4 linked regions of the Yarrowia lipolytica genome follow. The protein of the gene in region 4 interacts with the protein of the main gene of each other region in a pairwise test. Links are inferred from orthologs where the notes say so. Each region holds a gene or a part of one and is shown on either strand. Other genes may lie near its edges. The genes, in order: YALI1_C31453g, YALI1_C23359g, YALI1_D13611g and YALI1_B20717g.

The links.
Region 1: the proteins of YALI1_B20717g (region 4) and YALI1_C31453g interact in a two-hybrid assay, tested with the Saccharomyces cerevisiae proteins (7 studies listed by BioGRID, with this or other methods). The link is inferred for Yarrowia lipolytica from reciprocal best matches to the Saccharomyces cerevisiae genes CDC42 and CLA4.
Region 2: the proteins of YALI1_B20717g (region 4) and YALI1_C23359g interact in a two-hybrid assay, tested with the Saccharomyces cerevisiae proteins (2 studies listed by BioGRID). The link is inferred for Yarrowia lipolytica from reciprocal best matches to the Saccharomyces cerevisiae genes CDC42 and BUD3.
Region 3: the proteins of YALI1_B20717g (region 4) and YALI1_D13611g interact in a two-hybrid assay, tested with the Saccharomyces cerevisiae proteins (5 studies listed by BioGRID). The link is inferred for Yarrowia lipolytica from reciprocal best matches to the Saccharomyces cerevisiae genes CDC42 and BNI1.

What each region holds. Positions count from the first base shown.
Region 1 is NC_090772.1:3,141,861-3,147,252, forward strand, and holds YALI1_C31453g (uncharacterized protein), read right to left. Parts: upstream 3,464-5,392; coding exon 530-3,463; downstream 1-529. Other genes in the region: YALI1_C31408g (uncharacterized protein), read left to right, coding at 1-146. UniProt on the Saccharomyces cerevisiae protein: Involved in budding and cytokinesis.
Region 2 is NC_090772.1:2,334,085-2,341,734, reverse strand, and holds YALI1_C23359g (uncharacterized protein), read right to left. Parts: upstream 5,744-7,650; coding exon 524-5,743; downstream 1-523. Other genes in the region: YALI1_C23415g (uncharacterized protein), read right to left, coding at 133-137.
Region 3 is NC_090773.1:1,359,550-1,367,141, reverse strand, and holds YALI1_D13611g (uncharacterized protein), read right to left. Parts: upstream 6,032-7,592; coding exon 323-6,031; downstream 1-322. Other genes in the region: YALI1_D13574g (uncharacterized protein), read right to left, coding at 7,344-7,592. UniProt on the Saccharomyces cerevisiae protein: Required for the assembly of F-actin structures, such as actin cables and stress fibers. Nucleates actin filaments. Binds to the barbed end of the actin filament and acts as a leaky capper, slowing both polymerization and depolymerization.
Region 4 is NC_090771.1:2,069,767-2,072,982, reverse strand, and holds YALI1_B20717g (uncharacterized protein), read right to left. Parts: upstream 1,279-3,216; coding exon 1,231-1,278; intron 1,122-1,230; coding exon 1,036-1,121; intron 953-1,035; coding exon 511-952; downstream 1-510. Other genes in the region: YALI1_B20709g (uncharacterized protein), read left to right, coding at 1,914-2,011, 2,056-2,233; YALI1_B20634g (uncharacterized protein), read right to left, coding at 2,972-3,216. UniProt on the Saccharomyces cerevisiae protein: Involved in development of cell polarity during the cell division cycle, and essential for bud emergence. Affects signaling in the pheromone-response pathway through the STE20 protein kinase.

The sequences.
Region 1 (5,392 bases), on a different chromosome or scaffold from region 4:
GTATCATGAATTCATTCTGGTGGGTCGATCGGACCAAGGGTGTTGCTGGTCTATGCCAGGCGCAGATTCTGCCGTTTGGAGACATGGACACAATGGTGCTGTGGCAGACTATCGAGGCGTTGACTTACCAGGGTCTGAAGGAGTAGGCCGGGCAGAAAGCACGAACAATGCCTGGATGCTGTAACTGCCGCCTGGTGCTCGTCTCTGGCCACACCTTTCAAACTGACTTAATGAACTAATGACGCCTGGCTGTACCAGTTCAACAAATTTCCTGTTCGGATACGTCTATCTATAAGAATATAATGAATAAGTTGAAGGAAAAAACTCATGGACGAACCTCCATCGCTTAGGTTAAGGCACTGACCTCTACATTCCCACGTTGCTTTCACATCCCCCAACTCTTTGCAACCTACGATATGGAACAATCTCGATAATGTACACCCACTCAGGTCATTCTATTTAATTCAATAATTATGTAAAGTCCAAATTCCACCCATATTCACCGTTATACCTATACCGTACCCATGTCCTAAATCTTCTTATGCTTGTAAGCCAACAGCGGACTCAAACTCTGCAAGCCACAGCCCTTCTTCAAGAACTCATGGTTGACCAGCTCGTCGGTGGAGGCTCTGTAATTGACATCAACACACAGACAGACAGAAAGGAACGCCTTAATATCCTTGCTGAGCCGTTCGGGATGCTTCAGCTTGGGAGTACCGTTAGTGGCAATCAGGTACAGAGCCTTGAGAGGCTCCTCGTTCAGGTAAGGAGGCTCTGACTCGATCATCTCAATCGCCATGATACCCAAGCTCCACACATCTACCTTAGCACCATACTCCTTCTGCTTGACCACCTCAGGGGCCATCCAGTATGGCGTGCCGACCATGGTGGCTCGCTTGTTCTTCTGGTCCGTGAGCTTGGCGCAGAAACCGAAATCAGTAATCTTCACATGACCCTGGTAGTCCAACAGCACGTTGTCACTCTTGATGTCTCTGTGGATAATGTTCTGATGATGCAAGTGCTGCAGACCTTTACAGGTCTCGCCGGAAATTGTGGCAATCTGCTCTTCACTCAGACTGTTGTTATCAATAATGTCAGTGAGAGCACCGCCCTCCATATACTCCATGACCACCCACAGGTCGTTGGTGCCTCGCAGATAGGCGTCCAGGAAGTTGACAATGTTGGCATGCTGCGACTCTTTCATGACGATGATTTCGTTCACAATGAGCTCCTTTCGGGGCTGTGACGCCAGATCCATCTGTTTGATAGCCACCTTCTTGAGCTGGAACTCGTTGGTCATAGGCCGAGCCACATACACAGAGCCAGACGCACCCTGACCCACCTTCTTGAGCTTCTGGTACAAGGGAGTAGGGTCCTGGGGGTTGACCACCGACTTGAGCTTCTCGGTGATCTGTGCGTCGGTCATGGTCGAGATTCGACGCTCGTCATGCTGGGGCTTCTTCTTGGGACCTTCGAGAGCAGCAGTTGTAGCAGCGGCGGCGGCGGCAGCAGCGGCAGCACTAGCTCCACCAGGAGACGTCTTGGTAGGAGACGTCTTAGTGGGAGACATTCTTGGGTAGCCACCCTGGCCGACACCAGCAGCAGAGGGCTTCTTGGGAGACGTCTTGGGGGTCGTCTTCTGGGGCGATGGTGCAGGCCGCTGGGGCTTGAACTGGTTAGCCGCTCCAAGAGCGGGAGCAGCAGACGTACCTGAAGATGCAGGGAGTGCCTGGGGCTGCTGAGTTTGCTGAGGCACAGGAGCAGCTCGCTGGGGCTGGAATTTGTCTCCACCGCTCTGTGCAGGCACCGGAGGGGCAGTCTGAGGAGGCCGGTTGGCAGGGATGGCCTTCTTGACCATGAGAGGAGCGACGTATGAGTTTCCCGACGACACAGAGTTGATAGAACCACTGGAGTTCTTGTGTCGCAGCATGGGTCGCTGGGGGGGCGGTAGATCGTGCAAAGCAGCTGTGGCCACGGGAGAGGCTCTGTATGCGGTGGGCGATGTCTTGGACGACAGAGAGCCCTGCGACGACGACTGGGTCATCGACGTGGGCGTCGTGGGGTAGTTGCCTCCGGTGTTGCTGGTGGGCGATTGTCGTTGCTGGTACGAGTCAACGTCGGGGTTGATTCGCAGCAGAGGATGCACGGGGGTCTGAGTGCCGCTGCCACTGGCTCCGCTGACGCTTCCACTGCTGTTTCCAGCACCGGCACGCATTTCGTTACGCAGTTCCTGTCGCAGCTCGCTTCGGTCCCTAGGGATCGTCGAGGTCGATGGCAGTCCATCAGGTCGCTCAGGCCGTGGGGGGGCCGCCCGGGTGACGTTGGGGACCGAGGGTCGTCGGGGGACGGATGTGGACGGAGAAAGAGACGTGAGAAGATCGTCGTCGTTCTTTCGTGTGGCATTATATCGTGCGGGAGTGGTGGCTGTTGAAGAGCTGGAAGAGCCAGTACTAGGGACGGGTTTGGTCCACTCCTGCAGGTTGTTGGCCATACGCTGGGCCTGCTGCTGCTTCTGCTGCTGCTGCATGGCCCGCACACGAGCGGCGTCCATTGTCAGGCCCTCATCAAACTTGTTCTCAATGCCAATGCCCAAAGAAGATGCGTTGAATCCCATGGCCTCAACATTTTCCTTGCTGTAGAACTCAAGCACCTCGATGACGGCCTGAGGGTTCTTGGCGTAGTCTTCCTTGGTGATGGCTGACGTCGAAAGCAGCTTGCTCCAGGCGTCGGGTAGACCAGTGAAGCCTCCGGAGATGGGGTCGAAGCCAACGTGCACCTTATGTGTGAAGTTGGTGGGATTAGAGACGCCCATGAGTGGGCATTTGGAGTAGATCTCATCGATCCAGGCGTACAGCTCCGTGTCATTCTTGCAGACGACGAACACGGACTTGAAGCCCGACGACCGCACAATCTCGAAGCAATATGGCTTGAGATCGACACGTGTCACGTTCGAGACCGTGTATAGCGGGATGGAGAACTGCACTGACGACGTCTCCGACTTTTGAAAGTCCAATGCATTTTCCCGCAACACCAAGTACTTTTTAGTCCACATGAGCGACCGGAACGATGATCCATCCTCCTTGACGGACGCGAACCCGGACTTGAGCACCCTGTTGGACGACGCGGGTCGTGTGATGGCGTCTCGTGTGATGGTGGGGGCGGTACGGGGCTCTGTGGGGGTCATGAGCCCGGAAAGGTTTGTGCCGCTGGAAGAGGCGGTGAGGCTACTGGCGAAGGGCTTGGGTGGCGGTGGGGCAGGACCAGGGTTTAGAAATGCTTGGCTGAATTGTGACATCTGAGTTAGTACAGTCTTCGAAATGAGTGTTGCGAGCATCTCGAATGTAGGGACGACAGGAGAAGCTGCATACATCATGAGCTGAATGTGGGCTCCTTGGACAGCTGTGTGTGTCGTAGCGTCTTCATCATGGAAAGTTTGGTATTGCCCATGGTCGGGATTTTTCATAGTCGGGATGTGCAATTAACTCATGGCAGTGCGACGCTCCACGCTATACATGGGCTGTGTATCAAGGGCTGTGTATCACAATGCAACGTCTCTGCACAGTTTTGTATGGTGGACGGTTCGCTCTGATGTAGAGTGGGTTGAAATGAATCGCTTCGTGCTGAGATCACTGGTGGTCAGATGGACCTAGATAGGCAAAATGAGATGTGAGGACACATGAGACACACCATGGCAATATACGCAGTGCCATATGATCAGCCCATCTGCAGAAAGCAGTGCCGCATGGCCCATATATCTGCTCATAGCCTCGATTTTGTCATATGTGACTCCCACCCCCCCTGTGTCCAATGTGTCCTACACGTGTCGAATCGTCACACCAACAGTGCAGATGCACACAGTGCGCCCAAGGTTGGAGACATCCGCCTCCTCTTCACTTTGCCCATCACCTCATAGTCGCAAACACCCATCCATGTTCTATCAGTTCGTCTATCATACTCACTTTAGCCTGTGTGTCGTTCGTTGTTCCAAAGAGTGTCCTTGCGGTTGTCTAATTCTAGTATCGATGATGTGTCGTTTTGCAACTGAGTCTGTGTGAGGAGGCTTTTGTGTTGGTGAGTATCACTGTCGTTAGTGTATCGCTGTCGCAAGTATCCGGTTCTGTATCTGTGAGTATCTGGATCCGTATATTGTACCTGGTTTTCGGTCCTTTGGTGTTGTGTGCGTGTGTGAATCTGGGCCGATTATGGGAAAAAATGCAAGTAGTTAGAGAGAGTCGTTAGAGCGAGTTGTGGAGAGGGTCGTGAAGAGAGTCGCAGAGAGTCGTTGAGGGACTGAGTAATCGAGAGGGCTCGTTCTTCTCCGTTCTGCGTCGCTCGTTGTGGTTTTTATTTCTTTGGCAAAGCTCGACAAGTGGTGGAAAAAAGACAATGATGAGGTTCAGTGGTCTCAAAATCTAGCTTCTGGACTTGTCAAAACAGTCCGTGAGTAAAGGGGTCCAACCGTAACCGCGATAGGCTTTTTCGGAGGGGATACACCTCGAGCAAGACAGACAGGGGATAGTAGTGTTGTGAGGGGAGACGAGAAATAGATAGCTAGCGGGCGTCTAATTACGGGGTGCGAGTAATTATTAGTTTGACGCCTTTTTTTTTTTCTCTCTCTTCTTTTGCTCTTTCTTTGGCTTCTCCGTCTTGGATTCCTGGGTTTTTCGTGGCTCTTTTTACACTACAAGTATGAGCACCCAACCCAACCCAGCCTGAAGTTGCCTCATTAAAAATACTGACTGCCTTCAGACGTTTTTTTAAAATTAGTCTTTCTATGTACGGCAATGACAGACTATAGATGATATTGCGATGGTGCGACGGAACAACTGGAGTAAGAGAAGATCTCCAACCAAAAAAAAAAAAAAAAAAAAAAAACCAGCTTCAAAACGGATAAACCGGATAGAATTACAACCAAAGATCTGCTGTCCTCTGTAGTACCAATAATGGGTGGAATTTACAACAATTCCTCTCCCTAACCAAGTTTTCTCCCTCCCGCATCCCAACCCAAACGCGACGCGAGATAAATAAACTAGACTCACATTAATTGACATGATAGAGGTACATGGCTGGTCCAGTGACGTGAACCGACAGCATCGGAAAAGCTCCTTGACAAACACACACACAGTGACACATAACGACCTAGGGTCACGTGAGCCACCCCTCCTCCCGCCTCCTCCTCCCCCACGCTCCCGCTTGGTCTTCTCAACTCCGCTCTTAGTGCAACTTCTGAGACAACCCTAACCTGCTTGACGGGTTAATCTCCCTAAAAGGTATGGTCATTAAAATGGAGCCCAGCCAACAGCAAGGGCAAACTTGTCCATAATCCACCAAGAAAAAAGCAACAATGAATGATTTTCACATCTGCTGCTGCCGTAGTCTCCAGTCTTGGCAA
Region 2 (7,650 bases), on a different chromosome or scaffold from region 4:
GCACATTCCGAACATGCTCAACCATGCCGCGAGCCATTGATGATCGCCAAATCGCGCCCTGTATTCTGGCCTAATGATTTTGATTTGACTTTCTCCCTCCCCTCTGAGTCCCCTCCATTATCTCATACTCACTTCATTCGGGGGTTGATTTGGTTGTGTTTTTTTGCAGATGTGGTGATGAGATCAGTGTACTGCAGCATCATGCATATCGCTTAATAATATCAGACCTTGTATTTTTTTTTCGGCATATGAGACCGTGGGTTCGATTTGTGGTGAGGCTCTTCAACAAATTAGTTGAGTGTCAGATTAACAATATAACGGACGTCCACATGGAGACGTTGCACCTGTCCTGTCGACCCCATGAGAAACACCAAGAACATTTGCAATACTTGTACATCTACTTGTGTTAAACTCGCCCACAGCAGTTTATCAACCAATTTATGCATTATTATCTATTGTGCTTGCACCGTTGAATTGTTACTCATAGTACGCGTATCGCCATTGCCATCTCCACAGTTTGGCCTTACTCGTATTCGTCCACCCACTCCTTCTTCACCCTCGTCTGTCCCTTTGCCGGACTTCGATCCCTCACATACTTGCCGAGAAACATAATGGACGAGTCTCGCAAATCAGGGTACAAAGCTCCTCCAGTCGACCCGCTCTCGATGGAAGAGGTGAAAGACTCCGACTGAGGGACCTGGGAGGTGTCAACGGGATTTCGAGAGTACACCCGGGCACTCTTGGACGTCCGTCGTGCATGGGCACTCTCCAAAGACTTGCCGTCTTCTTCACCAAGCGCAACCTTACCCTGCAAAATACCAGCAAGATAGGAAAAGGACGAAAACTCGTCTTCGGCCGGGTTCTCGGAAGAAATAGGAGGAAGAGGAGGAGGATACTTGAACTGCGCCATGGAGGAAGACTTCATGTGTCGCAATTGGCGCGCAGAGTCGTCACGCGACGTACCGGGAGGCAGAATGTCTCGTGATGAACCAGCCAGAAAGTCCCGGGATGAGTCAACCATGAAATCACGGGACTCGTCCGAGTCGCGCGACGCCAGATAGTTTCGAGCCGCCTGCAGGTCCGACGTCGAGTCGGCCATAAAGTCGCGTGACTGGTCGTAGTACTGCGATTGGTCACGCGATTGAGCCTGCGACGGATACACACGAGATTGGTCACGTGACTCGGCCATGAAGTCCCGGCTCTCATCAAACCGCCGGGAGTCCTCAAACCGACGCGAGTCATTAAAGTCGCTACCACGTGACGACGACTCTTCACTCGAGTGGAACGAGGAAAACTCGCTGACGTCATCAACGCAGTCGGGGTCAGCTGCTGAAGACCGATTGGTCTTGATGAAATCAAACAGCTTCACGTCGTTGCGGGAGTCACGTGACGCGTGGGAAACGCTGGCGTCACGTGATTCGCCGCAGTCCAGGCTCTCCAGCGAGCTCATGTTTCGTCCATGGCCCCCACCCATTAGCTCCGAGTCGTACGAGTCGTTCCAGGTGTGTCTTTGGTTGGCCACATTGTCTTCAGACTCCGATCCAGAGTACGTGTAGTAGTGGGAATGTGATGTGGGTAATTGATGGTTGGAGTCGAACACTGGATGGCTGGGTTCCTTCTTGATTGGTCGAATTGAGCCGCTAGAGGTGATTCCTGGCTGGCTGGCTGATGTGTCTACGCCAGAAGAGTCAGTAACGACAATGGATCCTGTACCAACTACACCAGAAGCAGCGGGGGCGCCAAACACCCCGAGAGCATCCACTGGGTTGGTGGTGTTGTATCCTGAGGAGTTGGTCGTAGTGTTGTTGAACACAGCTCGAGTACTGGCGTCAGGGTAGACACCAGAGGTGGTACCATTAGTGGTGTTGGCATACACTCCCGTGGGATCGTAGATACCTGAAGAGGTGGTGTTTGCAGCGACCGAACTGGAATTGTAGCCAGAGCTTGAGTTGAAAGCTGACGTATCGTTTCCAGAGTAAATGGCGGTAGCTGTGGAGGGGGTTCTATCAGCATTCGGGACTGGTAGGGGTCGAGACACGGATCGGACACCGGATGCTGCACGTAACTCAGCCGCCCTCGGGTCTCCAGTGACACCTTGAATGCCGGAGAAGTTTCGGGTAGCTTCTGAAACTGCTCCGTAATCAGATGACACTGCCCTGGTAGCGTCAGAAACGCCAGATACGGCTCTATCGGCCCCGTGCGCCCCTGATTCACCGCCATAAGTGGATTCCGAGTTCACTCTCGGGTTATCCACGTCTCCATACCCGATATCATCCACCTCAGCACCATCCTCATCGTCACTGTTGGTCTGAATTCCACGCCGGAGAGCCGCAAACGACTTCTTGCGACGAACAACCTTGGGAGTGACATCGGGGTCGTTCTCAAGCGTTGGCCGAGGAGTCTCCGCCGCTCCAAACTTCCCACCGTCCATCTCAGGAGTCTTGGCAGAAATACCAAGACCATGCATCTCGCCCGTAGGAGGCACCACGGGCACAGGAGGGGGCACGTTGATCTTTTGGGGTACGTCAGGCACTCTACCGCTCTCAACCACATCTTCATCTTCATCTTCCTCTCTCAAACTGGGTGATCGCAACTTGCCCTTGAGTTTCATCCACATGCTGTCTTTCCGGTTGAGCTCGGGATTGGGACTGTTCTTGGGTGACTTGCCGAGCAGCGACAACACCGACTTTTTTGATTTCAACGAGGGAGATGCCTTGGTAGGAGCCTTGGCAGAAGGCTTCGCACTGGGCTTCGCACTCTTGACATCCTTGGCAGGGACAGGCGGCTTCGCGTGCACTCCCTGGACGGGCTTGCTCACGCCCGTAACCACCAGCGCCGCATCGTCAATCATGCTTTTGCTCTGCACGGGTTTGGTAGGCTTTGTGTGGGCCTGGCGCGTCGCAAAATCCATCAGCTGCTGTGCCACCATTTCGTTTCCCTGCACAATGCTCTCGACCATCTCGGGGTTGGCCGGAGACAGATACAGCGTGTACAGATTGGAGACCTCGGTGTTGATGAAGTTGGCGAGCGAGTCCAGACTCACCTGGCGGTCGAGGGTGTAGGCAAACTTGGAGTGCAGCGTCACATGGGCACTCTCGTTGGACAGCAGCGAGATGGAAAAGGCTGCGTCCAGCTCGTGGCGCTTTGTAAGTTCACGTGCGAGCTGCTTGCCATCGGACCCGTCCATGTTCAGAAAGATGGCAATGGGAGACTTTCGTTGCTCAGACAGATAGCCCTGCATTTCATGCACCGTCATAAACAGATTCAGACCGTGAGTCTTCTGGTGGTGAAAGAGATGGAACGGTTGTGTCTTCGACATGATCTTCGCCTTAGTGCAGAGCTCTACAATCTTGGGTGCAACCGGAGTCTTGAGGGTGAACAGTAGTGTCGTGGTGGAGCTTCCAGAACCTCCAGTGGCGTTCTCCAGGCTGTTGGGGACAATACCTTCGTTGCCATATTCGGCTGTGTTGAACCCTCCGACTGCAAACAGCGACAGGTTGTGGCCAAAGTTGTATTCGGAAGCAAAAACGTGTGATATGGGTGCCCAGAACTTGACTCTGAGAGGCGGAATTTGTGGTACGGCAACCTCGTTGATCAGCGAATGCATTAGCATGTCGGCGATGGACACCGAGTGGAAAGAAACACCCGACGCGATTCTTTTCTGCGCCTGTGTCTGAATCGTCGACGAGTATGAGGGCTCGACTTCCAGCAGAAGAATGTGATCGGTGAAGATGATGAGAATTGAGTCTTTTGAGGACGAAGGAGAGGAACCATTGTGTTGTTGTGTGTTACGCGATTCGGTTCGCATTTCACGCGTCTCAAACACACTCGTGACGTCGAAAATGCTCACAACTCTTCGGTTTATCCACCCGTACTGTAGCTCTCTCGGCCAGCCGGAGGCAAACTCAACGAGAATCTTACCAGTTGGTGTAAAGACTCGCTTGTCGTAGACCACGTGGTTTTCCACCCGCGCAAAACTCTCAATTGTGTTGACAGCCGCATGGTAGTACATCATGGTCGCATCATGCTTGTCGCCCCAGTTGCTGAGCTTTACAATACGATCCAGCAGCAGCTTGATCTTGGTGAGGTTTTGAGAAGCGGCCAGAACTGACTGGATCCGCTGCTGGGAGTAGGGAACTGGAGGCACAAAGCCAGACTCGGCAATCAGCGCAGAGTAGTCGCCATAGAGATCGGAAAAAGACCTCAGTGCAGCCTCGTGGCGCATGCACGGCTTGTAAAAGTAAGGAAGAGTCATTCCTGTGGCTCTGACGATTTCCGACGAGCCAAACGGCGTCGCAGCCTTGAGCGCGGTCTGGAATAGGTTGTGAATTCGAGCAATCTCGTCAATGGTGGGTGGGAAGATGGAATTCAACTTTGTCATGTTTAGCGAGGGGATGGCGCCATTGATGACCTGGATTCGCAGCGGAATGAGATACGACTGCAAAAACGAGATAAGCGCGTCGCGGAAATTGTTCTGGATGGTGATGAGCTCATAGCACACGGACGTGAGTGTAGCCGAATCGGAAAAGTTGGACGATGTGGGACTTGGTTCGCGACCGTTCTCGTCGTCCTCCTGGTCGACATCACCGCCAGCACCGCGTCTGTCTGTATCTTCGTCTCTAGGGGGCTCGTAAACCTCCTCAACACCCTCGGGCGAGTACTCACTCAGTGGGTCAAACAGCTGCTCGAGCTGCTCGCCAAGCAGGTACACGAGCCGGTTGTTATCCTCAATAGTCTCGTCGCTGTCTTCGTAGACGATATCCACCGCACTGGAACGCACAAACTTGGGTTCGACAACACCAGATTCTAATACCAGCTTACCAATCTCCTCGGGACCATGTCCATCCCCCACAACAAGCTGAGAGGCCGTTTTTCCTGCACATGTCTCATCGTAATCGTAGAGGAAGGACGTTTGGAGAGCGTTTTTGGCGAGATATGTACGGATGTTCTTGTCCATGGTGACATAGGCACGCAGGAGGGCGATACCTAGAGCGCGTGACACAGCCGAGGACTTGTCCTCGAGGTTTTTGACTGCGCCGTAGTATCGGCTCTTGTGGCTGAGGGTCATGTCGACGAACCCGGAAGCTCCGTGGCGCGAGATGATGACGCAGGAATGTGATTTGTCCGTTTTGTAAACGATGCCGAGAATAGGGCCGAATAGCGGGTCCGTGCCGACCATATAGACGGCGGTCGAGATGACGGACGGGTTTGTGTAGAGCTTTGAGTCGCATAGCGAGTTGCAATCGATGATGATCACATCTGCCGACGGGGTTGAGATGGGAAGGGAGAGACCTGGGTTAGCAAAGAAAGGAAGCAGAAGAGCAGCACGCGGGAAGGTGAACAGATTTGGCAGGATAAACGAGTCGGCTGCAAGAGTTGGTAGTTGTCCATGACACGTTTGTAACCGTTCAGCGCCAAGTTTGTATAATAGAACCGTTGTAATTGGCAGCAAGTTCACACAGTTGGCATTGCCATGAGCCCGCTCTCGGGGCGCTTTGATGATTGACTGCTCTGACACAACCCAAAAGAGGTTCGCTTGATATGCTGAGACGGTGACAAGTAGGTCATGCGTGCGAGTGGTGGAACTGGCAGCATTCTGATCGCGTTGGTGGGAACACCGGTATTGTGAGATTGAGGAAGACATGTAGAGACTGCGGGTTTGATAACTGTGATTTTGCCGGTCGCACTGTTCCCAAGACACGGTCCTTTTGGTATCCCGTAGAAAAAGATGGAGCCAGGTCATCTTTCAGAAATTGTAGCATTACGATCCATAACTTGGATCCAGAGCAAGACATTGACACGGTAAGAACACGCCACTCCAGTAGCATACCACACAAAAGGAAGCCGTGCACAAACCATGGACCTTATTAAACTGCTCAACATGACGAACAATCGCTTGCCAACTCGTTCCATCTTCATCCCACACCCCACCGTCTCAAATCACCAAACCCACCTTATCAGGTCCCGCCAAACCCGACATGCCGCGGGCTTCACTCATTTCTCTTCTCTTGTGGTTACTCACTCTCCTCCTTCATCTTCTCCTGATTCATTATCGCAGTCTCGTCACTACTTTTAGGCGTGCTGGGTGAGACTGAAACTCGCAACTAGTTCGTGACGCGTCTACACTGCTGCATTGGGGTTAGGGTAGAGCCCGCCAAGCGTCGTAAATGCGTCGTAAATGCACTTTGGCGTACGCAGAACGTTGGTGGGACGCCCGCGGATGGAGGTTTTGTCACGTGATTACCCTGATAACGTGACCAAACCTCCCAAAAACCCCCGTAAACGCGGTTTTATCCCTTCATCCGCGCGTCCCTCAACGTGTTATTGACAAACTCTATTCTGAATTTTCGCCTAGAGCAGGGTTAAAGACAGACATTTGGCGTGGTCTAAACCTGTTATGTAAGCCGGTAGGGTAATACCTGACTAATACGTTGATGAGAAATCCTCATTAATGATTAGAGGAACCAGCTTTGTCGCAGATGGATGGACTTTGTAGATATTTATCCACTGATCGAGAGTCTCTCTGGTGAATGGGTGAATGAGCGAGCCCACACCTTTCTGGTGAGTAACTCGTCATGCTGGGTAGACAGGCCTGTACGGGGACGCCATCGGCAACACTTCGCGTTGGGGTCTGGTGCTGGAGCATTTGCCACGTAGAGCGGGCTTGTCTGGGGGTTGCCGATTTTCACATTAGTATGTAAGGAACTTCTCGGGTATGGTCTCCTCGGCAGGGAGAATCCCATCAGTAGCCACTGCCAGTGGGGTTGATGTGTTTCCAAGTCGTCATTCAGGAACGAGTCCAAGGTATGTGCCACCAGTATACGCTTCGCCAGCCCGTTCCAAGCCTTTATCTCGAATGTCCATCCTGCCATCAGTTACAAAAGGATGGGAAGGACATTCCCCCGTCAACAGTCGCCGCGTCTCTGGTATCTAGAGTGGTGAAACCGATTCATTCGAGGTGTAGATGTCGTTCTTCGTATTGTTGGAAACAAGTCCGCCAGACTGGGGGATCAAAGAAGGGTTCTCAGAGTCAAAGGTTTGGACCATACGGGTTTCAAGAAGACCCAGATGACGTTCCATGTGGTCTGCAAGGGGTCGGCGTTCCAGGAAACGCGCAAATGGAGACTGGCAAACTCGGCCTTCAAGGAGATCCCAGACTAGGTAGTGCTTGCCATATTGGACATGGCCACACAGATCCCTATAAGCGCCGTCTCTTGCAGCTTAGTCCCGCTGAACATCAGGGTGCACACATAACACACCGATCCGAAAGTCGGAAGACGTGAGAGGTTCGGATGCGGTGAAACGTGATCATTGGTATGCGTGGTCTCAACCTCAATTCCTTCAGCTTCAGCATATCTGCGCAGGACAGTAAATTCTCCTCCTTGATCGAGGAGAATTCCGCGAGGCCCGCCGGCGTCTCGAAAGCATGATAGCCCACTCGAGAAACTTGGTGACGTACTTGCTCGGCTCGGTCAAGTCAACCACTACCTGTGTACTGCTCCTTTACGACCGCATGTTTGTAGTCCTTTGAGGATATCACCAGGTGAAGAATGGTATCACATGTGATCACATCCAATGTCGAATTGCCCGTAACCACCTGGGGTGTCTTAATAGTAGATTTCCCGGTGTAACGGCAGTCTGTGAATGAGT
Region 3 (7,592 bases), on a different chromosome or scaffold from region 4:
TGTACTTGTACTGCGAGTACAACTGCAACTTTTTAACCTATCCAGCAGGCTATCAGCCCTGTTTATGAAACAAGTTGAAGTAAGAAACAAGCCATTCATCTACGAGTACTGTATGTACTTGGGTGCTGGACTCATGACATACCCTTCCCCAATACAAAATGTCAAGATTTTTTTATCTTCGGCTACAAGTATGTATAGGTACTTGTACGTACTCTACTCGAACTGTAACTATCTCCATGATTACATCGACTGCAACTTCATATATCCATGGAAACATTTCTCTCATTAGTCAATCATGCATTGTTTATGTAATCGTGTAGTTTTACTCTTCATCATTTGTGTATCTGGAAGATTGGGACGAAGCCGTACCTGGTCGCCGGGGGGTGGGAGAATCGGGTTCCTCGGACGACTCTATCTCAGTTTCGGGCTCCGCACTGTCTCGCCTCTCCGCCTCAATATCCTCCTCTACCTTGATCTTCTCCGCTGCGCTGGGCGACCGGTTGGTCGCCGAAGGCGACAGGTGAGGACCCAGGTCCGAGTCGGAGCCAATCGACATTTTGTTTCGCAGTCGGTTAGCCTTTCGGGCTCGCATCTCTGCTAGTCGGCCTTGAGACATGCTTCCAACGGATCCTGTGCTTCGATGGCCTCGAGGAGATGCTCCTCCAGACCGCAGAGCCTGCAGCAGGTTCTGCGCACGGGTACCAACGTCATCGTCGTCGTCGTCGTTGGGAGTGGTAACTGCCACCTCAGGAACAGCTCTATCAGGTGTGTGAGCGTCTTCTGTCTCATGAGGAGTTCGAGGTGTCGAAACCCCCTCTGGCACGTCACCACGAGACACATCAACAGACAGGCGAGTAGACGTACGTGATGACGGCGCTACTGCTGGAGCTTCCGTGTCTGCTTCGTCATCTCTTGCGGGTTGCACTTCTGTTGTGTCAGCATCGGCATTTGGAGAACCCTCCCGGATCTCGGTGGTGTCACCCTCAATGATGATGGACTTGTCGTAGTCGTCAGCATCCTCAATGAGGTTCTCCTGGTACAATTTGGAGGAAGCATCCTGGTTCTTGCGGGCTGCAGCTCGTCGACGAGCTGACCGAGCACCATGAGAAGACTTTCGAAGTCTTTCCAGCAGATCATCCATGACTAGGTTCTCTCCAGACTCGGCAGCCGCAGCGGCAGCATCCTCAGCAGCCTTTCGACTCGCCAATGCACGCTGCTTTCGAGCTTCGTAGATTCGATTCTCCTCCTCTCGATGCAGGTTCTCATCCTTGGCCTTTCGGTACTCCTTCACAAAGGCAACAAACTTGCCAAAGAAGGTGCTTTGAGACTGCATGTCACCAGGATCTTCACCGAAGAAGCGCATGATCTGGGAGAATTCGGCAAGAGTAGTTTGCAAATGATCCTGCAGAAAGTTGCGCTTCCGACGAGCTGAGTCCATGTGCAGATGCATGTGTGTGATGATGCGGTCTCGAGGATGCAGCCGCTTCGGGTCCGAAAGAGCTCCAACGTCCAATGAAGTCTGAATGTTGGAGATGTTCTGCATGTAGTCTCTGCAGTCGTTCTGCAGGTGCTCCACAGAGAGACGCTCAATGGCGCACACGGGAGCAAGCTCGTCAATGAAAGAGTCCACCTCAGGGAACGAGTTTCGAACCAGCTGCTCGACGTAATGCAAAAAGGTTATTGTGTTCTTCTCGTCCTTGGTGAAGATGAGACGCTGCAGAGTTGCCAACTTGAAGCCTGTGGCCTGCTTGTTGGCGTCGTTCATGTAGTTACCCACAGACAGGATGATGAGGAAGATTCGGCGCAGCATTTCTGAATTCTTGAGAGTTTCACACGCAGCGTCCACAGACGTTAGCTTGGTCACCAGATCACTGTATTCCTTCTCAAATGTGCACGTCATCAAGATTGCCCGCGTTCGCTGTCGCCAGTAGTGCTGGAGATCAAACACCGTCTGCAAGTAGATCTGGTCGTTCCGCTCCAGGTCTTCCACATTCTTCTCGGGCTCACGCACCTCACCATCCTCGAACCGAGTAGAGTAAGGCGTAAGCTGACGAGTCACACTGTTGGGGATCTCCAGAACCTCGTCCTTAAGCAAGAACTCGAGGAGAACGGGGTTTCGGACCCGTCGGGACACAGACATGAGCTCGGAGACAATTTCGGGAACACCCAGGTCGTTGAAGGTGTGGAAATTGATACCGATCTGCTGAGACAGGTCTCGTGCAATCACAGAAAGCTTCTCAAAGTCGCCCTCCTTGGCGCCCCGCTTTCCAATCATCTTCTTTGCCTCCTTGGCCGCAAAGATTCGCTCTACCTCGTCGAAAATGCCCTTCTTGTACAGGTCAGCCTCTACATCGCCAGAAGACAGCTGCGCCCAGAAGGTATGCTCCACGTTCTCCAGCTTCTCCCAGTGCATCTGCTTGAGCTTTCGCTTGGGCCGTCCGATGGGTGTTTCGAAACCTGAAGGAAGCTGGGGAGAAGGAGACGGCGAGGGCGTCGCACCAGCAACAAACGCCGGAGCAGGAGGAGGAGGTCCACCTGTGAAGCCAGGAGGCAGAGGAGGCGGAGGAGGAGGCGGAGGAGGACCACCTGTAAAGCCAGGCGGAGGAGGACCACCTGTAAAGCCAGGCGGAGGAGGACCACCTGTAAAGCCAGGCGGAGGAGGTGGTGGAGGCGGAGGAGGTCCTCCAGTGAACATGGGAGGAGGTCCTCCAGTGAACATGGGAGGAGGAGGCGGAGGAGGCGGAGGCGGAGGTCCGCCAGTAAACTTGACTGGCGAATGTGCATTTTCTTTCTCCTTCTTAGCCTCAGGCTCGTCGTCAATTTCGATGACCACGTCTTCAGGCTCTGTCTTGGTCTCCTTTTTGACCCGTGTAACAGAGGAGTCGCCTGCATCCTCATCCGCACTATCGATATCGCCATGACCATCACCACCCTTGCCACCCTTGAATTTGGCCACAAGCTCGTTGGCAAACGGTAGAGCACTGGGTCTGTCGTGAATAGAAGGCATGGTGGCAGCATCAGGACCGTTTCCAGTGCCATTGCCACTTCCAGTACCTGAGCCAGACCCGATACCATCTCCACCTCCACTCCCGTCCCCAGCAACAGCCTTGGGCTTTCTAATTTCCACAAGGGTAGCTGTGGCAGCCTGGGGCTGGCCCTGCTGCTGCTTCTCACCGCGTCGATGCCGCTCAATGAGTTCAATCTCCTCCGCAGAAAGCTGAATACCGGGGTCGTTCATGGCCAGAGCCACATCGCCAGAAGCCTCCTGAAGACGTCGCAGCCGCTCAACCTGCTGCAATCGTCGCTCGTATAGATCCTGCTTGGAGACATCTGCTGCGTTGAACGACAGCGCCAGCTCGCCCGAGGCCTCCTGGAGCTTCTTTAGCCGCTCCAGTTTTTCGAGTCGACGAGCATACAGATCCTCCTTGGTGAGAGCAGGTGTTGAAGCATCGGGCTCCTCGGTATCAAACTCATCTTCGTCAAAGTCGTAGCTCTCAAGTTCACGTGCCTGAAGCTGAAGGGCCTCCATTCGGTCTCGCAGCTCTCGCAGACGAGGAGAAGGTTCCACCTGGTTGCGGCCAACTGACAATGAACCGTACTCGGCAGTCTTCTGATGCACCTGCTGCTCCAGACGTTGCAGCATTCGCTGTCGATCAATGATGCCTTGCGACTTTCCGCCCTCGGTGCTGACCATGGACGTGTCGGCCGCCGCAACCTCTCGCTCCTTGAGCATCATATAAAGCTCTCGAATCTCCAGCTCCTGCTCCTGCAGCTTGACTAGCGACTGTTCACGTGCGTCCTCAAGCTCGGATCGCAGAGCATCGTTCTGGCGCCGAGAGATTCGCGCATTGTGCTCCATCTCCTCCAGCGTCTGGTGCAGCTTGCTGATGACTCCATCCGAGCCCTGTTGCAGTTGTTCCTCCATGCGCATCTTCTCAGCCTCGGCTATCTCCACATCCCGTAGAGCCTCCTTTGCTTCGAGTATCGCCCTCCGTGCTTGGTCGTCAGTGTGTAGCTTACCCAAAAGTGACTGCACCGAGAAGTTGACCACCGAGCGGAAATCAACGTCTGGCATGATTCTATCCATCACCAGATGGGTCACCACAGCATCCACCAGCTGCAGCATACGAGCTCCGTCCTCTCGAGGGTCTTCTCGAATCAGCAGCAGGTGTTGCATGATCGACACAAAGTGGCCCTCGCCCTGCGTGTGCTCCACACGGCTCCAAATCTCCTCGGCTATCGCCACAGGGTCAGTCATGTCGCCCACATTGGCTTGGCGATCAAGAGCAACCAAATCCTCAAAGTCCAGTGCAGCCTGCTCGTCGTACTTCTGCAGCTGCTCGGTAAGCAGATCATAGTTGAGTGCCTGCATCCGAGCTGCAATACGAGGCAAGCCGCAGGCCTTCATCTGGGATCGCAGGTGGACTCGCACCCGAATGTCCTCTACGCCCTGAATGAGAATGTTGATCAGGAACATGGTGGCTAGGGAGTATTCCATAAGTAGGGACTCAATAGAAACTCCTCCGGACCGAAGATCGTCCGATGCCCCAACAAGAGAGCCAAACTTCCCTCGGCCAGCTAATGTCTGTTCCACCACGCTGAACCATGCGTCGAATCGGGACACCTCATTGAGGTGCTGTTTGAGCTGTGAAAGACCCGCCAGAACCTGGTCATGGCCTTTAGGTGCGTCCCAATGTGCCAGGAACGTCAGAACGTCTGTCACCAACTTCCGTGTACTCAGTCGTGGGGACACCAAAGATCTGACAATGGGTGCCACGCACTTGGAAGTTCGAACAGCGTGGTCGGCACCATCTCGCAGGTTGAGCAACGCCTTAAGACATCGCACAATGTCGTACTCTCTGTCCAGGAAGCCCTCGCTGTTATTGGTTCGCGAGTTGATCTGCTGGAGCCATGCAGCCAGAGCGACCTGCCCCTGGGCATCAATAAAATCTCTGACCCAGTCAACAGGCTCAGTTCGCAGTGAAACCCAAAGGTTGCCCAGCTGCTTGGATGTGATGGTATTGTCAAGAATCTTGCGCACGTAGAACTCAGGTGAATGTGAGTTGTTGGACTGTGATGGTGTGGGAAGATGGGGTGTATGGTGACTCTGTCGCAGTCGTCCTTTTTGATGGTCGGCCAGATGGTCCTGGACAATGAGCGTCCACTTTTTGTCGGTGGGATAGCTGATCATCTGTCGTCGTGCTTCCTCTGGCAGGTTCTTGAAGTCTCGCTTGTTCATGAGCTGCATATACAGCTGGTGGATGGTTGCCTCGTCCGGAGGGTGTTCCAGGTCCATTCGGGCCAACGAGATGCTTGACTCTCTTGCGCTATTGATGCTGGGCGGCCGTGATCCTCCGCTGAGTGTCGATTCTGCCTCGGTCGAAGAGGTGTCGTGTGAGGACATGGACGACTTTCGTCTGTGGCCCGTCTTCAACATGTTGGGCAGACTGTGTAGCGAGCCATGGTGCTGTTGCTGTGGCAGCGGTGGAATGGGCGCCGAGATGTTCTGGGGTACAAACCCCGATCCAGACGCATTATCACCTGCTGCGGGCAGATACGGCACGTGGATGGGCTTGTTGGACTTTTGCGAGATGCTGTCGTAGGCCAACGACGAGAACGCCGACGAGTTGGTCGGTATGGTATGCAAGTTTCCGCCGTCGGGATCGTTGTGGGAGTAGATGGATGACGTGTCTGATCCCAGGGACCGCACCGAGTTCTGTTTGGACAGCTTTCGCAGGCCCAGGCCCTGAGTTACCGACTGGAGCTTTCCCGCTGTACTGCTTCGGATGGACGCCGAGTCTGGCAGAGGGCCAGAAATGTCGTGTTTCTTTGCCTCGTTTCGTTTCATATCTGTGTTAGCATCAGGAGTGAGCGCCATATGGTACACGTCCCGGGTGGCTGTGTGGATCCTTTGCGACCACCGTGGACATATGATTCTTGGAATTGCACTCTTTTGTGTATCTTCAGCTGCTGTCCGCGGTGGTCTTGCTCCACTGGTCCCTCGTCCCCCTCCCCCGCTCGCCACCTCCATTGTTCACTCACCCTCCACTAAATACCGAATGTCACTGTGTGTGTGTGTGTCACTGGTGTGTGTCGCAGTATCGCTTTCTCTCCCTCGCTCGTGTCGCAGCTCTAAGTCTCGTAATAGTGCTGGTCTGTGTATCCGTTAGCAAGACGGTGATCCACACGTTCTGAATTGGGTGCCTGTGGATTTGGGTTGTCTTGCAGACACGAGTGATGGCTGCTAGAGTTAAACTATTAGAAGGGATACGAAATGGCGCAACAGAGTCGCACTGCGAGTAGCGAAGAACGGAGTTGGGAGATATACGGACAAAGTGCAAGTAGAGAGAGAGAGGGAGAGAGAGAGAGAGAGAGAGCTTGACGTCTCAGAATCATACTCCCTTTAGGAAGGAGCAAACTTGACCGGCCCCTGATACCCTCCCCGCAGTACACAAGACCACGTGTTAACTGGGCCTAAGCTGACCGTGTTGCTCCCCACTCTGCAACCGTTTTTTTTTCGCGCCTCACCTCCAATTCACACGCCCAACTGTCCACCATAGAGTTCACCCTCTGACCCACCAACCCACTAGCCCACTAAGCTTGGTATTGTGCCGACAAAGTAGTTATAGACCCCTTTGACGACAGCAATAGTAGGATAAATGGGGTGGTAGGAAGATAGCACCGCTCGAAACTAGCAATATTGCACACCTAGACCACATACAACATGCCATACACTACATAGGATACCAGGGTACCCTGGAGGATCTCGCCTGTACCTCACCGCATCCCACCATTAACTCCGGCACAGTACATAGGGGTGCATAAGATCGGGTCAGGTAGAGAAGGGAGACCCAGTATTATATGCACTACTACGCCAGGGGGGCGCCAGAGATAGGGCCATAGGACTGCCATGGTCACGTGAAGTGCCCATGGAACCCCCGTCGCTGTCTCACTGGGGGGAAACAGGATCCAGCCGTTCTTCCATCTCCGTATAAACGTCCTTGAATCCCCCCAGCCAGGGGTAAATAGTCTATATATAGCATCGACATAATCGCTTCAGCCTGATCCTCGGATGCTCGCCAAAAGCAATACGTCGCTTCAATCTACCCCCTAATCGATCTGCGGAGATTTCACAACCTCGAAATTGGATCGACGCATCTGGAACCGTTGCATTAGGAAGCTCACGTGCCCAGTCTAAACCGATATTGATATTGGTAGAGTACAAGTACAGCAGGGTTGATGATAAATACTAATGCAGTAGCTACAAGTAGCGGTACTAAGTCTGAGAATTAAATACTAATGTACATACAATACTAATGTACGTAGAATGCAAATGACTATCGCTACAGTCGCTTGTACTTTCGACTGTCCTTCTTGGACATTCGGGTCTGGTCCCGCATGCCCTTACCACCTTCCCAATGGGCACTGTGACGAGGAACATAGGAGTATCCACACGAATCACACTCCTTGGTAATGGTCTGCTCTCGACTGCAGGCTCCACAAAGCATTCGGTTGGCATGTTCGGCAACATGCATGCTTATGTCATCGTGGCACTTGTCACAGGGGAATACCTTGCCACAGCACGAAAACCG
Region 4 (3,216 bases):
CAATGTCGTGAGTGTAGATGTGTAGTTCTGGTAGGTTCTGATTAGATTTTCTGCACCAAGGTAGATATTAGGGTATTGTACGCACACCCACTATTTTTCGATGGATTTCTTAGGATAGAGTTCGGGACTCAAACATCTGCCTGAGCGATGTGCTGGCTTAATAAGGGTGGGGCGTGTCTTTTAATTGTAGAGGCGGAAGCTATCCGTACTTGTACTTATCGTGTAATGATGACCCAACAGGGGAAATAATACACCACTGCAGCACTACAAGCACGCGTCAGGTTCTACCTTTGGATATTCAATAATATATATGTCAAAAATGGGGTAACTACAGACATCAGGTGGCATCTCGAGGCTTGAAACGCATAGTGATGCTTTGTTTTGAGGTTCCCTCACGGAGGCCCTGTAGACACAATCCAAGCCCAGTTCTACTACAATAAACATATCTTGAAACATTTTTTTCTTGCTTTGATTCATTTTTCGTTGTGTTAACCCATTAGCATGCAAAAACTAGAGCACAATGCACTTTTTGTTCTTCTTGACCACTGGAGGCTCAAGAGCTGCCACGATGGCCTCGTCGAAAACGTCCTTGAGACCCTTCTGAGTAAGGGCAGAACACTCGACGTACTTGACGGCACCGAGTTCTCGGGCGAGCTGGTAGCCTTGCTCAGTGGTCATGGGTCGCAGCTTGTGTCGGGAAAGCTTGTCAAGAATCATCCTGTCACTTCGCAGATCAACCTGGGTACCAACAATGAGGCAAGGCACGCCGGGGCAGTGGTGGTGGACCTCAGGGAACCACTTCTCCTTGACGTTCTCAAAGGAGGCGGGAGAGGTGACGGAAAAGCAGACGAGGAAAACATCGGTCTGAGGGTAACAAAGAGGTCGCAGTCGGTCGTAATCCTCCTGACCGGCGGTGTCAAACAGTCCGAGTGTGTAGGGCTCGTCTCCAATCCTGGGGTTAGTATCTCGATTCGTTGCTTGGGGGGGGGGGGGGGGGGGCTTGGTTTCTTGCAGAATGCGACGCGTTATACTCACATGACAGTCACGGCATAGTTGTCAAAAACGGTGGGAACGTATTCAGAGGGGAACTTGTTTGTTGTGTATGAGATGAGGAGACAAGTCTGCGTTAGTAGGAGCTCTCCAGGGCCATTAATCCATCGTCCAGAACGACATCGTGATCGTGGCGGAGCACGAGAACCTTGATAATTGGCGTTTTGTCTTTATACTCACCTTTCCGACGGCACCATCGCCGACAACAACACATTTTATGGTCTGCATTTTATCTTTTTGAGGGTCTGTGCACGGGCTAGGGCGGGAGCTTGTTCAAGGAGCGTGGTGGGGGCGTGAGAGTGTGAGAATGTGGGTGTGTTGTGTGGGTGTGTATGTGTGGAGTGTGATATGTGAGGTGGTGAGTTGTGCTGTGCGACAGGGTTTCGGATTTGGGTGTCAAACGAGAAGGCTGCTTACAGAAGCCTATGCTTTTTTATGCACAAAGGTGTGCCACGGAGCGCTTCTGTGGTGTATCGTGAGCCAGGGGGCGCGGAATACGAGGGCTTGTGAAATCTTCTCGTCTGAGAAAGTCGTTTCTCTACCATCGAATACTCTGTATATTTCCACCGCCTATTGCCGTCTGTGACTTACGAGTGCCCCACCTCTCCCCTCCCACTGACGTTGCCAAAACTAAGTCCCCTAATCGAATCGTCCCAGGGGAGCTGGAAACTGTACTTCAAGGGCATAAAGGACATAATAGGCCAACAGGGGAAAACTGTCGCGTGGGGCAACTGGACCGGATATTATTACTATTCAAACACGCACACATTCCGTTTACATTCCGCAAACTGACGCCGTCCTCTATACTACGTGCTACGTAGCAGTCAGCGTCAAAACATCTATGCCACACAACCCATTCGCTCATGCATAGGCCACATCACTCACTGATAAGCCCAAGGCCAATGAGGCACATTTCTTGTGTCGGGTTAGTGCGCGGGTCGGTGCAGTACTTACAGGTACAGTAGCGTACAATGTTTATTAAACACCCCCTATGAACAGCCCAAGTTCCACCATACACTACGTTATCACGGTACTACCACCCTCTTGTATGGCCCACTATCTTTCCCGAACTCCCCTCACGCCACATCACTCCACAGACACGATCCCTTGTCAGCACGCGTACCAGTCTACTGTAAGTACAGTACCTACGATGAACTTCGTAAACTCTGACCAGCACTCATAATCTTGAATCAAACATAAAATTCTACGGTAGGGGGTTAGTTAATTATACAACCAGCCGCTGTTACAGCTATCGTACGCAGCCGCTAGCAACGATGAAACAGCAATAATTATACCCTATTCCCCCATAGATGTGCACGCCCAATACGGCCAAGACCAAAGCATCATGAGTAGCGTGGAAGTTCTCTTTCTCCTTGCAATTTGAACCAGAGCCACTAAACTGTTTATACCTCTAACATGCATTGTGGACGTACTGTAAATACTGTTAAACTACTCCACGGATCTTTAAAGACACACTACAGGTACAGTACTTGTAGTGGGTGTACAGTACATACTGGATTATTGCCGTCGCAACGACAGCACAGCTGCACAATCCAGGTGGGTTAATTACTTATTGTACAATGTGCACGTCAAGCAACTATGAGATGGAATCTTAGGGATCGTACTATTGTACTTGTAGCACAGTTATGTTGTAAGTCGCTTATACTTGGCTTCTGTCGTAAGTCCTACCCTCGAATGTCTCAGTAAGCACTCCCACCAATGTTTACCACTTTCGCGTTGCACCTTCACGTCTCTACTGCTACAGTTGCGTGGTCGGCTTGATACTCACGCGCTCAATACACATTCATTTTACACCAGCTATACATTCTACTACTTGTATCATATAAATAATAAATCAATTAATGTTCTATCAGTTTATTCCAATTCTCATCCTCCTCTCACACTCCCCTCACTATCCTCCTCACTTCTCAATCTTTTTAGTATCCCGCTCCGCTACCTGCACAGACATGAGAACAGCTGCCAGGTCTGCCGGTAGAATGGGTTTGGCCAGATAGCTGACCATACCAGCATCCAGGCATTTTCTTCGATCTTCTCCTCCAGCGTTGGCCGTCAACGCAATAACATTAGGGCAGTCATCCTTATACAGCTCTTTGAGCTCCTGGGAAGCAGCAATACCATCCTTGTTGGGCATCTGGATGTCCATGA